2 linked regions of the Alligator mississippiensis genome follow. The protein of the gene in region 2 interacts with the protein of the main gene of each other region in a pairwise test. Links are inferred from orthologs where the notes say so. Each region holds a gene or a part of one and is shown on either strand. Other genes may lie near its edges. The genes, in order: PSMA3 and ZNF366.

The links.
Region 1: the proteins of ZNF366 (region 2) and PSMA3 interact in binary tests that used the Homo sapiens proteins (3 or more experiments, as listed by UniProt). The link is inferred for Alligator mississippiensis from reciprocal best matches to the Homo sapiens genes ZNF366 and PSMA3.

Annotation. Positions count from the first base shown.
Region 1 is NC_081825.1:295,235,474-295,244,321, forward strand, and holds the start of PSMA3 (proteasome subunit alpha type-3), read left to right. Parts: upstream 1-5,566; 5' UTR 5,567-5,648; coding exon 5,649-5,669; intron 5,670-6,774; coding exon 6,775-6,857; intron 6,858-8,407; coding exon 8,408-8,531; intron 8,532-8,661; coding exon 8,662-8,763; intron 8,764-8,848. Other genes in the region: ACTR10 (actin-related protein 10), read left to right, coding at 2,676-2,857. UniProt on the Homo sapiens protein: Component of the 20S core proteasome complex involved in the proteolytic degradation of most intracellular proteins. This complex plays numerous essential roles within the cell by associating with different regulatory particles.
Region 2 is NC_081826.1:252,115,143-252,123,036, forward strand, and holds the start of ZNF366 (zinc finger protein 366), read right to left. Parts: upstream 3,778-7,894; 5' UTR 3,613-3,777; intron 1-3,612. UniProt on the Homo sapiens protein: Has transcriptional repression activity. Acts as a corepressor of ESR1; the function seems to involve CTBP1 and histone deacetylases.

The sequences.
Region 1 (8,848 bases), on a different chromosome or scaffold from region 2:
TTAAAGGAAAATTTGCCTGTCTTGGGCTAATCAAAGACTCTAATACACCACACAACTTGTGTTTGCAACATACACAGAGTATTCAGGCCACAAGTTGGATTTTGGATGCTATCTTACGAATTGGTAATCAAATTAGCAAATTGAGAGGTGGTTGCAGCATTTGCAGTTTAGTGTGCTCAGACAAAAATGTTGTTGTTTTAATAATTTGGATGCTTCAGCTAATAAACTGATTTTATACAGTAGAGTAGAGAATAAGGATGTGGGCAGACATATCGTCTGACACTGATGTAATGGTTACAAAGGGAGCCAAACAAACTGTACTTCAATCCTGTGTCATTCAGAATTTAAAGCGACTTGGCTCACTTACATCACTATGGGAGCCTGCAGATCATAACAGTTAAAGCAGAAGAACTGAACACCAATTCCCCCACAGTTTAAGGGGTTGAAAGTTTTATGTCTATCTATAGAGACACAAAATGTGGACATAAATGTACACTTTATTTCCTCCTGTTGTGGTGTTAAATATCTATAAAAATCATTAACTAAGGCCTGGTTGGGGTATAGAGCCAGTGGAACGAAATGTGTTCATTATGATGGTACCAGCTGTCTCCATTTCCTGATGAGACATACCAGTTGACTCATGCAGTGGTTTTCAACCTAACATCGATGGCCAGTCCCAACCCGGTGCCCCTCACTCCTGACCCAGGGTGTGGGGCACGAGGGGGATGAGTGGGATACAAGGGGCCCCAAGCAGCCCCTTGCAGCCTGCAAGGGAAAATCACGGTTGCCCATGTTTTTCTTCTTCAGAGGAGAATCCATTTTTAAGATTTGTTCGTAACCCTTTCATATATTCCTGTGCCCTGCTGTGTTGAGAAACGGTGAACTAATGTATACTGACTTCTCTGTGGCCAGTGCAAACTTACCCTCATGCATATGTGACATACTTGCACTTACTTACAGTGCTGGGTGTCTGGGAAAAGTTTATTAACCTGAGAAAAGGAGGTACCTGTGGAAGCACTTGGAGATTGATTGGGATTGGGCCGCAGGCATGTCTGCTCTCCATGTGGTTATGCCTGTAATAAAGGCACCTTGCCTCCACAGGGATCTGAACTGAGAGGGTCAGGTGCCAAGGAGCCCTGTACAGTGAATGAAGAGATCTTGTGCTTCCCAAGGGCCATCTCAAGCATCTACCATTAAGCAGGGAGGCACCTGTGGCCAGCCAGTAGGAACTGCTAGGCACAGCGATGTGTCTGAATTCCTGCGTCTACCTCGGGGCTTTGAGGAAGTAAGCTCCGTTCTGTTGAGATCCAGATCGCTCGGAGGGACAGTGCCTGCCTGCACCACAATGCATTGAGTCCAGTTTAAAGCACGGTATCCATCATTCCTTCTTGAACAAATGATGATGATGCTGGTGCCCACTTCTGTCCAATAGCCTAGCAGCAAGGAGACTTCCCTAGGAAACCAGAGACCTTGGACTGTAGGCCCTCCTGACCCTGAAGGGACTGAGACTCACATCTTTGAGCTCCTAGTAGAATGCCCTTGTCACCAAGTTATGGGCCTTCCTGCCTGGCTGCTCATTTAGCCGGCAACGAAGCCCAGGTGAATTCAAAATGTGAGCAAGCAAACAATTCTACTAGTCTAGAAGGAGGCAGACACAGACTTGGCACTCACAAAGGTATCTCGGCTGATCTGTTGTAACTGCGTAGTCTGTCCACATCTACCATGCCGTAAGTGAAGCTGGACCCACAATGGTTTGCCGCATATAAAACAAGTGATGAATTAATTGCAATTTAGTTTCTGTTCTGCCAAGGGGTATAGCACACAAGAAGCAGTTGCATTGGATTCAGCTGGACCATGGGAGATTTCTTCCCCCCCCCTTTTTCAATCAGTATAATTATTTCACGTGTCTGTGCCAGTGGTTCTCAATCCGGTGTTGCAAGAGCACCTCAAGTGCTGCAACACAGGCACCGCTGCTGTGGCCAGGTAAAAGTGCATGCAGGGCTGGGGCATGCCCATGCTCCTCCTGCGTTACAGTTCTCTGATGAGCCTAAAGCTGGCAGGAGAGCTACTTTTGTGCTGCAGCCCTCCCTCCACACCCCCACGTACGTTCACTCCTCCCGGAAGCAGAAGTACGTGGGACAGTTGCAACTGCCCATGCGTCTTTGCTTCCAGGAGCCCCTGTGCAGGTTTGGAGCAGGAAGGGCTGTGGCAGCAGCTGGTACCTGGAAGCTTGCTTTAGGCTTGTTGAATAACCCTAGTGCAGGTTGAGCGTGCATACATGCTGTGCCCCTTCCTGGTCTGGCCGTGCATGAGTCACACGGAGCACCTTTACCTGGCTGCATTGGCAGCCGCAGCGTCCGGTTGAGAATCAGAGGTAAACTGAAGCAGCACAACGGTGCCTCTGAACCGAGGATGCTGCCGCATTCAAACCGGTGGTGGAGGGATGCCTGCCATTTAAGAAGCTTGAGAGCCACTCTTCTGTGCCTTTAATCACTTAAGACGGGTGCGGGCTGAAGCGAGCCTGGGTGAGCTACAAAATACGTTTTAAAAAGGGTATTTTCAGCCTTTTGTCTTTCCTTTGGGCATCTTGAAATGGCTGAGATTTACGAGGCTGGCTGGGGAGGAGTCAATATGGCAAACCAACACCAAGTGTCTTTTTTTTGTCAACAACGCAGCAGCCATCTTTGGAGCACTTCAAGACATCCTCGGAAGCCGCTCGGTGTCCAAGGAATATTATAGCCAGACGGGCCGCATCCCGGACTGGTGCTGTCTCAACAACCCTCCTTTGGAAATGATGTTTGACGTCGGCAAAACACCACCGCCGTTGATGAAGAGGGCTTTTTCCACAGAGAAATAAGTGTCTAAGCACTACGCTGGTTTTCCTTTGACTGTTTCAGGTGCATGTAACAATGTTGCTCTTCATATGTTAGGTAAATTATGTAACACTTTAAAATGAATGACACGTGTGTAGCTTGGGAGCGTGGTGCTGGGAAGGGCTACGCTGCAGATGGATCCAGCCACGTCTAGTCGAAAACCAGATGGGGTACTCTGCTTGTCTCTTTCTAGGGAGCACATATAACCGGCAAAAGTTGTTACCAAGTCGTCTGTCCTATTTATATGTACAGTAGATGAAATTAGGAGGCTTCGTTTTTACTTTTAAATCAGAAGAATAGAGGAAACTCTGTTACCAGAAATGTCTGTTGAATTTTCTCTGCCAGACTGTGTGTGTCCACATTAACAAACAGTTGGCTCAAAGATGCATTAAAATATCTTCTGAAAACAGTTTTGTGATCACAAGGTCTGTGGAAAGACATCAAGGGCTAGGCCTAAAATTCCTATTTTCAGTGATTTGCTTCTGCCAGACACTGTCACATGCATTGTCACTCGAATCTACCTGCTAAAAACTTTTTACCTGAACATTTAGAAATTATAAAGGAGAAGCTTAATAATGGAACTTCTCTCCCCACTTCAAATAAAATGGAAACTTCCTCTGGCATTTTTTAAACACGTCCTCCTATAGCAGTAAGTATGAAATACAAATGCAAAATTAATCTCTATGGTAACTGTTGTACAATAGCTACTAATATTCAGACCAAAAACAAAATGCTTCAGATTCGTTAACAGGGACTCAAGTGACCATTATTTTTGGCTTCTGCAGTCCGGTTTGTTTTATAACTGGCAGTGGGATACTCCATTTTCATTGCATGTCCCCACAAACCTTGTAACAGTCGGAGATTTGGGGCATCTCTACTGTACTTTAATTACTCCAAAGATCTGTTGTTTCATAAATTCAGTCTTAAAACTCAATCTTGTATCTGGATATGCACAGCATGCTATTGTGGCACTTAAAGTAGATGTAGTGTTACAGTGTGTAGGTGTGTGAAATACTGGGGCCAGTTCTGGTGTTCGCACCAAAAAAGAGCCTGAAAACTTGGGTGGTGTACAGAAAGTATTTGAGGGATGGAAAAAACGCCTTAAAAAGCAAGAGGCGACTTGTTTGCAAGGTGTAAGCCCTTTTTAAAGGGAGAACCCAGCAGAGGAAGGTGCAGCAAAACCCAATGGGAAGGCAAACCAAAGTAAGATACTCTATTGAGAAATAAGACAGATTTTTCCCACGGGAGTCTATTAACCAGCAGATGCTTGGTGAGAGCTAGGCAGACACGGCGGAGCTGCAGGCGCTGGGCTGTTGCCCGAAGCAGAAGTGAGCCTTCCTGCGAGTCGCTGCCTTGAAACAAAGACGGAGAAATTGGGCGAGGGCAAAGGGACTCGGAGCTCGAGTGCCAGGGAGATTTGGGCAGCCGGACTCTCCCCGACACGGGGCAGCACGGTGGTCACTGCTCTGCGGGGAAACAGGCCCTGAGGCCCAGCTGCGAAGGCTGGGCTGTGGGATGGGGATGCTGCTGCCCCGTGGGCCCTGAATGGCGGCAGAGGCTGGGCCTGATGCTCTGACGGCCTCTTCTGGCTTTCAAGGCTGCGCAAAACCCTACTGGAACGGACCCCTTGCTACAAGCATTACGGCTCGCTCGGCCTCAGCTGCTGGGGAGTCGCAGGCGCTTGAACGCCAGCCTCTGCAGGCCGTGGCGCTGACCGGCTTCCCGGTGCTCCCCTCTCCCGGCACGATCACGAGCTGCCCAGAGTTGGGGCTCCCGATGCCCCAGGCTCCGGTTCTTCCGGTTACGCAGCGCTGCCCGCGCTACCGCTCTTCTACTTCCCACCCCGGAGACGTGCGAAGCTGGGCCCCGGCTTGCCTCCCAGGAGAGCGCGCGCGGGGTGTCGCTCCAGCGTGGGCCTCCTCTGCGTGCCCTCGAGGGGAGGAGAAGGAGCCCAGCGCTCCGTATTTGTAATCCCAGGCGTGGCGGGGGCTCCCCAGGGCGTGGGGTTTGTTTTGGGTGTTATTTCCAGCGGCCGATCCCAGTCCAAACTCGAACTCGGGAGCCGTGTCTACAGGTGCCCGTGGGCTGTGTCACTTCAACCAGGCCGGGGGGGTTGGATGCTCCCCGCACCCACGCGGCCACATCCCAGACCCTGAGGCCTGTGAGTCCGGATGCCCCCAGCCCGGGCTGACATTATCCCGAAGGCCCAGCAAGGGTCAGCCGTTGTTGCGTGTACTTTGTGCCCTGAGCTGTAACCGGGCTTGCTGCGGCACACCCACAGTGCCCTGTGGCATAGGGAGTGGGCGAGTGCCACCGTGGGCAGGGCAGTGCCAAGGGACAGGGCTGGCCTTGTAGCCGCACCAGTGTCTGGCAGCTCCTCGGGCAGGTGCTTTTCATCACTGCTCGGGGCACAAAAAGCACGTGCGTCCTTCCCCGGGCAGCGCAAAAACCTATGCGCCCAACGTGGGGCTCGAACCCACGACCCTGGGATTAAGAGTCCCATGCTCTACCGACTGAGCTAGCCGGGCCCTGTGACCCAGCCTCTTCCGGAGGCTTCTTCAGAATTCTACGCCTCTCTGCGCGTGCGCGCGTAACTCCGGAAGTCAGTGTTTGTCCTCCCCTTGGAGGGGGGGCGGGGGAAAGAGAAACAAGTCAGAACCCGGCTGCGCATGCGCGGCCATGACTCTGCAGCCGAGCTGATTGGCCAGTTGCGCGGGCCAATGGGCGCGCGCGTTGTTGGGCAGTGGGGGCGCTGCTGTGACTGGCGCCGCCGCCATGAGCTCCATCGGCACCGGGGTGAGTGCTGCCGGGCCGGGCCGGGCCTGCCCCCTTCCCCCCATTTCTCCTCGGGGCGGGGCGGGGCGCCGCTGAGGCACCGGGAACCGGCAGGGTGGGGCCGCCCGTCTGCCGAGGGAAGACCGGGGCAAGCTGGGCCCGGCTGGGCCCGGCGGCGCAGCGTGTGCTTTGTAAGACGGTGCCGACGAGAAGTGCTTTCGGAAGGTCCCGGGAGCACATCGGTTCTGAAAAGCTGCTTTTCTGGAGTGGCGAGGGCCTGGCCGGAACCAAGCGGGGTTTGGGTTGGGTTTTTTTGGTGATGCCTCGTATTGGACCGACTCTGTAGTTGGCGGGCAGGTCAGGAGAGCTTTTGGGTGCAAGCCGCCCTTCAGGTTTGCACGTTCAGTTAAACGCGATGAGCAGCCTTCCTTTAAACAGAAATCTTCCTCTTCCCATCCTTCACGTGGTAAAACACAAGCGTCGCTCTTGCTCCTGCTGAGCCAGGAGGTGTCGCTGGCGACCGGCCCGGCCCCGGCCCCGGCCCCGGCCCGAGCCGCCCAGCTCCCCTGTCCGCCTCTTTGCTCGCTGCCCGACTCCCGGGACGTGGACGGAGCCGCCGGGAAGCGCATTGAGGTTGTTCTCTGCCGCTGCGCCGTCCACAACGTCGTCGTCCTTTCCCTTTGCGAACTGCCTGAAGAGCAATTTTAAAAAAGCATTGCAAATGTTAAAAATACTACTAAGAACCGCACACAAAGTTACAGCCCGTGTGAATCTGTTATCTGTGCTGTAGCCTCGAATCCCTCAGGTTCCTGCGGGGCCCTGTCCTTTGATGGGTTTCAGCTTCAGTATGACTGTCCCTGAAAGAAGTGATTTTTTTTTTAATTGCTTTTAATTAAGCCAGACAACACTGATTCATTTTGTTTCTTTATGTATTAAAGGAAACAATTGATTTACATGTTTTGTATTTTTGTCCTCTTTATTCAATCACCAAAACCCATGTTAAATTTAGCGCATCCTACTTTTTGCAAAACATTTAAGACTTTTACAGAAGAGTGACTTAGTGCTGCTTGCAATATGAACTGTATCGATAACGCTTTTATGCTGAGTGTGTGTTTGTCTTCTACAGTATGACTTGTCGGCTTCCACGTTCTCTCCAGATGGCAGAGTATTTCAAGTTGAATATGCCATGAAAGCTGTGGAGAATAGTAGGTAAGACAGAAAAGTTTTTTCCTCATCAGTTTCTTTTTAAAAAAAACACCCAACAAAAACGAACAAAAACCAGTGGAACTAGAGGAGATGAGTATGGTGACATAGCAGTGAAAATTACAGCGTCAAAATAACTGATGAACAATTGTGGCCCTGCCTTTCTGTCAATAATGTTTTCTGATAAAATATATAAGGCATGTAATGACTGTTCATTTTGGCAGGACCAAAAGCATAAAATAATGCTGTGAGAGAATGCGAAGGGTAAGAGTAAAATTATCGAAGCGTACTAAGGATAATAAAGCCTTATGCTTTGGTGCAAAAGCTGATTGCAGGGTTTGCTCCTGGATGGGAGATAATGGAAGTTTGTCAAAGCCCATTGTATAGATGGTGAATTGAGGTGCTGAGAAATGACTTCCCAAAGCCATGCAGGCTTGCAATAACATCACTGGAGGTTGCCAGTTAATGTACCAAACCTACAGTGTTGGCTTCCTTAAGAGTACCTATGTTTTTACAGATGTTGTCCAAGAAGCAGCCTGCAAATATAATTTTATATCCGCTGTGTACAGCTTGCAGCTTGGCTTGACTGTCACCAGCAAATGGCGAGGAAAGTGTTTGAGAGGAATTGAGTCAGTCTGTATGCATGGACCGTATCCGGCCCTGATCCCGACTAAGGGATCTGTAGAAATAAACTGTTCACAACCTCCAGTTAGTAGCAGTATATCATCTTGACAACATATTGCCAACTTGGTGACATTATTAAGGGCCTCAACCTTTATAATACCATTCTAAAACTAAATACGGTGCATCCTGAAATCTGAAACTTGCAGCCAAAACTGTTGTCTTCTCATTTTGAAAAAGGCATGTGCCAGCCTGTAGTTAATACAGTGGTCAGGTTTTTGACAACAGAAATACCACTCGGGTCCATGTGGTCTTCCAGGAATACCTTTTGAATTCACTTGGCTGGTGGAACTCGTAGTGTTGGCTAGGTTCTGTTTTCCTCTCATGTTCTGTATGTTGGCGGGGAACATGCATGAGATGCCTAAATGGAGTAGGCAGGGGTTGTAATCCTTGTGATCAGCTGATGTCCAGACATCCTTGGGATACTTGTCCAACTACCTGGATGCACTTAGGAGCTGTGCTTCTGTTCCCCTGGTGTGTTTGTTGGGTGAGATGGAGACTCATGTAAAATAGCACAGTTTCCTTGTAAGATGCCCCCAATTCAAAGCTACAACAAAGCTGTCCAGGCTCCAAGAGAATTGCTTTCCATCTTCCACATTTTCCAAACTGTTTAGCTCTAGATGTGCAGTGTGTGTGAATAGTTTCCACATGTGGGCAAAGGGAAGGTGGGAAAAAGGAAAATGCTAAAACATTGCTCTTTTTAGAAAGTTTCAGGGGTTGCAATGCATCTTCAAGGTAGAACTGAAATCATGGCATTCTGTTGTACTTATTGCTGTGCACACTTATATGACAACACTACCATTTAATCTCCCAACCCCACTCCTAAAGCTTTAGTGTTTTTTAAAGACTGTTGTTACATTTGACTTATCTTTCAGTACAGCAATTGGCATAAGATGTAAAGATGGTGTTGTATTCGGAGTAGAGAAACTCGTCCTGTCCAAACTTTATGAAGAAGGCTCCAATAAACGTCTTTTTAATGTTGATCGACATGTTGGAATGGTGAGTATTATTTGACGCTGTATGTGTTCTCCTAAATCTATCCTACAATTTACAAACAGAATTAAACCTTGGTCACTGAGTTACAAAAGGTGTCTGCATTTTGACTGGCTGTTAATGCTCTTCATTTCAGGCAGTGGCAGGACTCTTAGCAGATGCACGTTCTTTGGCAGACATAGCTAGAGAAGAAGCCTCTAACTTTAGATCTAACTATGGCTATAATATTCCACTGAAGGTAAGTGACTGGTGCTCCCAGTATAGTTCCTTAGATCTTGTAACACGATGATCTATTTAAATCGCCTTGAGGCATGTTTACTGTC
Region 2 (7,894 bases):
TTTTAGCACTGTCAACTATTTCTACAAGAACAGAAGGGTGGTATCTGGCTTTCCCAGTGTTTGCTTTCCCCCGCTAACTTCTTTGCAAATCCTTCCTTTATTTAAAAGCTTTAGTTTATTTTTCTGGCTAATACTCTTTTCTCTGACCCGACCTGCTCTTTCACCCTATTCAGTAGCTCCCTTGGAATGGGGAGCGGGACTGGAAAAACTATTTTTTTAAAAAGGTTTAACAGTTAATTTGGTTTAACAATATTTTCCAAGAAGATGCTTAGGAGAAAATATGGCTTTCAGGAAATAAATGTGTCGAAGTTCTGTTGATTAAATACTAATTAATTCTTTCAACTACTTTCTGGCTGTATATAGCACTTACTGCATTTCTGAAATGGTCCACTCATACAGGTGTCTTTACTATATCAGAGCCACAGTGATGAATGTTCTATGATTGGTTATCTATGCTGTAAGTTTGTTTTGTTTTGAGCTGTTGGTTTGAACCTACCATCAATTTTTCTTCCATCATAATTCTACCTCACAAATAGACCAAGCCTCAATGTCTGCCAGCGCACACGTGCATCATGCTGGCACACCAATGCATATCTCTTCTGGATATGTGTCCTCCAGTGCTCTAGGCACTTTGTATATCTACATTATAAGCACTAGGTTGAGATTCTTCTAGATTTCTGTGTAAAATACCAGATAATTAAATGACTGAATTCTCCTACTGCTGAAAAACCATAAAATAGATGCTAAAATGTGAGAAGAAATATTGTGTTTTAAACATGTAGTGCCAGAGAACAGGTTCCTCTAGTGATGAAAATCTATGCGCTGCCATTGGTAACACACAGATTGACATGAATTTATGTTAGCAGAGAATCTACCCCTAAGTCCACAGTTCTTGCCTCCCAAAAGAAGGCCTACTGAAATTTACAGAAAGATACCGATTGACATTGATGGGTTTTTGATTAAGTTCTTTGTCCTTGGACTTCCATGGGCCCACAGAAATTAAGGGCTGTGGGATTGGGTTCACTTATATGTATATCTACCATGAGAACATATTGTCATTTTTTATTGAAGTACTTTTCAAGATGACTTTTTCATTATTTAAAATGAAATGGTTCAACTTTAACAATTCTCAAAAGTTACTAGTATCTTTATTAAAAAACAAGTTTTTAAGCATGTTAAAAAAATATCTGTCATTGCTTCCATGAAAACAATTTCTTTTTTAATGATGTATAGAAATGAATCACTAAAACCACATTTCACAAACGTTCAACTTTTTGCCATAAACCAGTTACTATTCTGTACAAAGTTTTTTGTTTTCATAAGGGATGCTTCTCTGCCTGTTACTCTCTCTCAATGTGAGCTAAGAACATATCAACCAAAAATCTCCCTTTCCTGAACTCTCAAATAGAAGTGCACCTGTTTTATAAATTTGTCTTTATATAAAATGCTACTGTCATGTGCTTAGAATAAAAATGTACAAAAAAAGCTGCAAGTGACCAAAACTGAAATACTGCATCAAACAAAAATGAAACTGAAAGGTGAAATCCAAGAATAAATGCAAAGCTTCCACTTTCCAGTTACAATTCAATTATGCAGTATTACACTGCAGGGCTATTTTAATAGAATATTAATGAGGAAGTGAGTTTTAAAATAGCATAATATTACTTTTGACTAATTACTACAAATATAAATTATGCTTGGGGAAGGGTGGTTTTATTTTTTCATTTAGACTTGTAGAATTGCCTTTTTCCTAGAGCTCTTGAAGAAAGGCCTGGAAGCATGAACCCAAACAATGACCTCAAACATCCATGATTTTTTATAATTTTTCAAACTTTGTAATATAAACTGTGTAGTTGGCTCCTGTCTTTACTGTAGGCTGAAACAAACTTCTGGATCCAACTAGTTCAGAACTTAGAGGTGTTTGCTATTTTCATGGTCATTTGGCAGTTTGAGATTTATTTATTGTTTTAACAACCACAGAACCTGTTGATTAAGCAAGTGGCTTCTCTGTTTGATGTAGAGGTGAAGATCCAATCTTCAAATGCAGTTGCCAAAATAGGTGCTTAAATCCCCATTTGATTGTTTAAATCCACGCTTGGTCAGGAAAAACAGACAATTGATCAGCTAAATGGGAACCAATTTCCCAAATGAAAAACATGCCCAACCTATTTCATGTGTGCATTTGAAAAGAGGTCTCTATAATAGTGGCATAACTCTTTGTGGGAGAAATATGATCTAAATAAAGCTCATAATTGCACCAAACTAGACAAAGCTGATGCTTTTCACTACTGATATCTGTAAACAGTTACTCCTCCTGTTATCACTATGTTAAAATGTGCCGGGGGGGGGTAAGGGAGATCTTAGTAATTTGGGGTAAATCACTACCTGCAATGGAAAAACTCATAGAAAGGAGGCAGAGGGAGGGTGAAAGGATCTGTTGAACGGTTTGTTCAATCAGAAGGGCAAAATATGCCTCTCCTGAGAAAAGGCAGTCACTTCTAGTACCCACAGACTTCAGAGGCTCTACTAGATGCCAAAGCTGACTGTCTACATCAGTTCTGGGATGCCCTGTTCCCGCACCCTATTTAGAACAACATTGTTGAGATTTTAAACATCCAACAAAAGGTACGAAAGATCAGGAAGTCTCCACTTGCAAATAAGAATTAACCTAGGAGATGATTGGGCTTTTTCACAGAAATCTGATCACCTATTCTAATCTTTGTTGTCTCTGCTGATCTTTCTGTTCACTTGCTTTACAACAAATAAAATGCATGCTTAAATTTCAGTATTTGCTGTGCAGTAAACCTTTGCTAGCTTACATTAAATATCTTGTATCTGATACTCGGAAACTGTAGCTGACAAGCCAGTGGTAGATAAGGGTTGTAAATGCATGCACAGCACTTTAGTCTATCATTTCATGAGCCTTGGTAATTAATCTTAGTATTGGTCACATACTTTGTCATGTTAAGTCTTTGGTTTTCAAATGAAACTGGAATTTGCTTAAGTAGTCAAATGGCACAGTTTTCAGACTATATACATTTGCACAAGTGCTGAGATATACACACATATACTCGCACATAATTCAGTTCTGTTTATAAAAAAAACCAATTCATCCTCATTTCTGACACACTGGTTGAAGCTCAGTAGCTTGATTTACCATTTTAATTAATTCTTGGGATGTTAATGGCAGGTGATACATAAAACACACTAGTCATACATTACCCACTTACCTATCTCTACCTCTGCTATGGCCATAGTGAAGCTTGCTCAAAACTTCAACAGAGAGTGAATGAAGCCTATAATAAGCTACAGAGACTCCTGGTAAGAAGTCACCTATCCAGCTTCATAAGCAAGGAGTTATACAATTTAACATTGCAAATATCATCAAGTTAATTGAAAACATATCCTAGATTAAGCTTCATGCTACTAATGGTGGTATCGAGAAAACAGACTATTGATATCCAAAGTTTTAATATATACTGTATGCCAGTGTGCACAATCATTATCTTTTTAACAAGAAAAATCTGTATTTGATAAATTACTTTCCTGAATATAAAGGTGTATATTAAACTTCTAAAGCATTAAGCAAAAATACTTTCATGAATAACTTACCAGTTGCTGAATCTGGAATGATCCCTGCCCTATACTCCCTACCTGCTCTCTTGCTGGCAATCGCTCTCACTCTCTGTACTCTCTCTCTCTCCCCCCGTGTGTGGAGATTGCAATAAACTTTGAAAACTAGTAGGGACAGTGTCTGAAACAACTTAAGAAAGAGAACAGGAACAATCATTTCGTTCTCTTTTTTCAGATGAGTACAGTACCTTCAGAAAGAAGGAAGGAAGGGAGGGGAGAGGAAGTCAACAACCCTTTGCTTTCCTGCAAAAAATAAGGAAACAGTAGATAGCAATCTCGTTTTCTCTCAAACAAAATGTTTGGAAAAATAAATATAACCAAACCAAAAGGAATTCCTTAAATATTATAATTGCAGTATTGGCTTCATAAGAATTAATTTATCGCTCACTGTATGCAACGACATCAAAACGAATGAAGTTCCAAAAGAAGTGGCTACAACTTAGATGCCCATATCTCATGTGCAGAACTGTGTTAGCCAAAGAGCACAGATAACCTAATCCTTAGCTACAAACAAGGAGAACTCTTATATGACACAGTAAAAACAAAACAAATACATACATGGGTACAAAAAAGAAGAAACCTTCCATTGGTGTGAGGAAAAGAAGTGCAAATTTAAATTTACTGCATACTTGACAAAAATTACACATTGAGGGTAATTTGAAAGCTTTTGTGGTTACAACAAATCATTAGTTTGGTTTTATAAGGTAAGAAATGAAAGACAGATGAAAAGGCACCTTGGTTTGTCAAGGCAAAGACTATTTATCATGCTTTAGGTCTAGTTTGTTTTATTTTTTCCAGGTATATCAATATATTTTGGTCTCAGCCAGTGACCAATTTGTTAGAATTATACTTGTGATAATTTGGCCCCCTGTGCCCCATACTGAATTTTTAATGGCTGCTGACATTTACCAAACCAAAAGTCCCAAATCAACCAATGGAAAATCATCTTTCTTCCATAGATTTGTGAAGTTAAACTTTTTTTTTAACACAAACGTTAATGGCATTACAGTTTTCACATTTCTCTTTGGACTGTCTTCAGGAATCATTGAAATAAAGGAATTTCTGCACCCTGCTACTATAGCAGTGTAGTAGCCAATGGGAGGATGGCTTCTGATGAACAATTATATTTCATCATGCATAAAAACTGAAAAAAAAAAGCCTGCATCAAAAATTCCCTCATAAGGCCAGTTACCAGGATATAACTCTGAATGAATGCTTTTGAAGTCAATGGACTTGTTCTGGTAAAAATCTATTTATTATAACTGGAAATAAAACTTGGTTTGCATCCATTATTAAAAATGAATATTTCCCTTATTATACAATAACAAAAAGTGATAGGCTGGCAAGCCAATGTGGAAAATAAAGCCTTTTGACATGCAATGTCCTTTTATGCAACGAAAGAGTACCAAAACTATCTCCAGAAGTGATAGAGGCGGCTTAGCAATGGCTTGATTGTAGAGATCTGCAATTTATACAATCCCATTATACAAATTTGTCCCCATGCTGCAAATTTGCAGTTCAGGGACAAATTTTGCTACTGGGAAATTCCGGTAGCTAAAAAAAAAAAAATAAAAGCGAAAAAAGCAGCGTGGTGCACGTGTGCACCGGCAGACATAGAGGCTTGGTCCTCCCAGGAGATGCTCTGCAGCATTCCCTTTAAGCTGTGTGGTATGTGCAGCTGCGCAAGCGCACTCATGCCGCATTGCTAGGCATGCCTATGCGGCTGTGCACGCTGCGCAGCTTAGAGGGAATGCTCATGCTCTGGCAGGCAGCCAGAGTGTCTCCGCTCCTTTAGTTGTCCCGCAGCTCCTCTAGCATACTGGGAGCTGAGAGGAGCGGGGAAAAGGCAGTTTCCCCAAAGTGGAGCAGTTTGCCCCACACCAAAGTGCACATGCAGGGGCATGCACTGCAGCAAAAAGTATCAGCACAAATTTGTGCTGTTACTATTATTGCTGCTGCAAGCGCATGCCTCTGCATGTGGTGGCATGCCCAGTGGGTTCAAATGGATCTACTATAACAAAAATACTTAGACATTCCTAAGAGTAAAAGTGTTCAGTCAAATGCCTATACTGAATATAAGGAAAGTGAACGGGGTATGGGAAATGATCATGAAAACATACATGCTTTGAGTCAGTTTAATGGTTAGATCAGAAGTTTAGGAAGTGTTTTTAAAAAGAGATTTAATTGTCCTGTAAGTGAGATAGTAATTTCCAACATTTTGATCTTATCTGTGAGCTGTATCAGGATAATGCATCTTGTACGCTGGATTGAGAGTCAGTCCAGAGCTCTGAAAACAATGCTAACATTTTGGGTTGTCCTCCATCTGGAATGTGTCACAGAAGACTAGGCAAGACCTAAGCCTGGCCCAGACTGGGCAAAATTCAACAGAGCTCCAAGCAGACCGATTTGGGTGCAAGTTGCAGCTGCTGATGTATTTCTCAGCATTGGGATTGGAGTCTCTGGGCCCTTGTACACACCACAGAATTGGCCTTTAAAGTGGCTTAAATGCCCTTTTGCACTGATTTAATGGTGTTGCTGTTTGCACATTTGGTGGCATATTCCACTTAATGGCATTGCTGCTTGCACACTCGGCATCATATTCCGCTTTAAATTACTTTGATGCATACTAAGATAAAACACCTCTGAGGTGTTTTAGTTTGCAAAGTGCAACAGTGCACAGGGCCCTAGAAGCCGATGTGCTTGGGGCTTGGTGGGCCCCATGCAGCTCAGGGGTTGTGGGACCCAGCGGCAGCCCATGCAGGCAGGCTCCACTGGAGAAAAAAAAAGAGTGGTGAGCATGATCTTTTTTTTTCCTTTTCCCCCGAGCTTACCTGCCCAAGCTGTGTGAGAGTCAAGTGCTTCCCTCCGCAGCTGTGGGGAAGCTAGTGCTTCCCTCCAGCACTGTGGCACCCCTCGGGACCTCCTAGGCCCAGTGCCAGCAGGCAGGTGCTGCCTGGGACTGCTTGGCCTGCCAGCAGCTCAGAGCAGCCCACTGGCAGCTCGCTCCCCACCCCCAGTGCTGAAGAGGCAGGTAAGGATTAGGCCCCTACCTTTGTGTACACGCCACAGGGGTTTAGGCTGGTTTAATTCTCCCTAAATTGAAATGGTGTTTTAAAAAACCCACCATTTCAATTTAGGGAGAACTAAACCAAATTAAACCCCCGTGGTGTGTACAAGCAATCTCTGACTTTTTTTAAAGAAATAATTCATTTTTTATCTTTTGAGGTGTTGCAAAAGCTAGAAAGTGCTGTGATATAACCCATGATAATGAAAGATAATCTTATCCCTAATGATCAAGACTTTCCTTAGGGACAAGGATCACATTTGTGGGGGGTCAGCAAGTAATACAATGTTAAGGGGCAACCAGCATGGATTTATAGCAGGCAGATTCTGCCTGACTAACCTGGTCTCTTTTATGACCAGGTCACAAAGTGCTTAGATGCAGGAGTGGAGATAGATGTTATTTACTTAGATTTTAAAAAGGCTTTCGACACAGTGTTGCACCCAATTCTCACAAGCAAACTGAGTAGCTGTGATGTGGATTTTTTCACAGTAAGATGCTTGAAAAACTGGCTTATGGGATGCACCCAGAGAGTGGTGGTAGATGGGTCGGTTTCCTCCTGGAGAGATGTGGGCAGCGGTGTCTCCCAAGGCTCTGTCCTTGGACCAATAGGGCACATCCACACATACAAGCACGTGCACTTGCAACAGCTCAAATAGAAGCGGTGCAAATTTGAGCCGGGGCTTTTTGCTTCAGTGCACGTACTCGGACAGCACTTTGTTGTGGAGCAAATTGTGCCGCTAAGGGCAAAATAACCCTGTCTGGCTCCTCCTGGATCTTCAGCCAGGGGGAGCTAGAGCCCAGGGCCAGCACCTGTGCTGTCCCCAGCAGTATAAAAAGCTTCCCTATCCTGGCCCCAGTAGTATAAAAAGCCGCCCTGGCAAGTAGCTCAGGGATACTTGCTCTCAGGAGCTTGTTGAGCCCAGCCAATTGGTGCCTGGGGACATTACCCCTTGTGCTAGCTGGACTGCTGAAGCAGCCCTGAGAGTTCCCTGCACCCTCTACCCACTGCAGCAGTCTGGCAGTGAGGGCAGCTGCCTGGCTGTGACCTGCTGTGCACCTGCCAGACTTGGATAGGGACTGCACAGCCGGTAGAGGTATCTGCCCCTCTGGGACAGCTGCCAGTGGACTGTGGTTGCAGGGTTGGCCTTTGTGCAGCACTACTGCCATGTGTGCCCCCTGCCCGGCCATCTGGGCAGC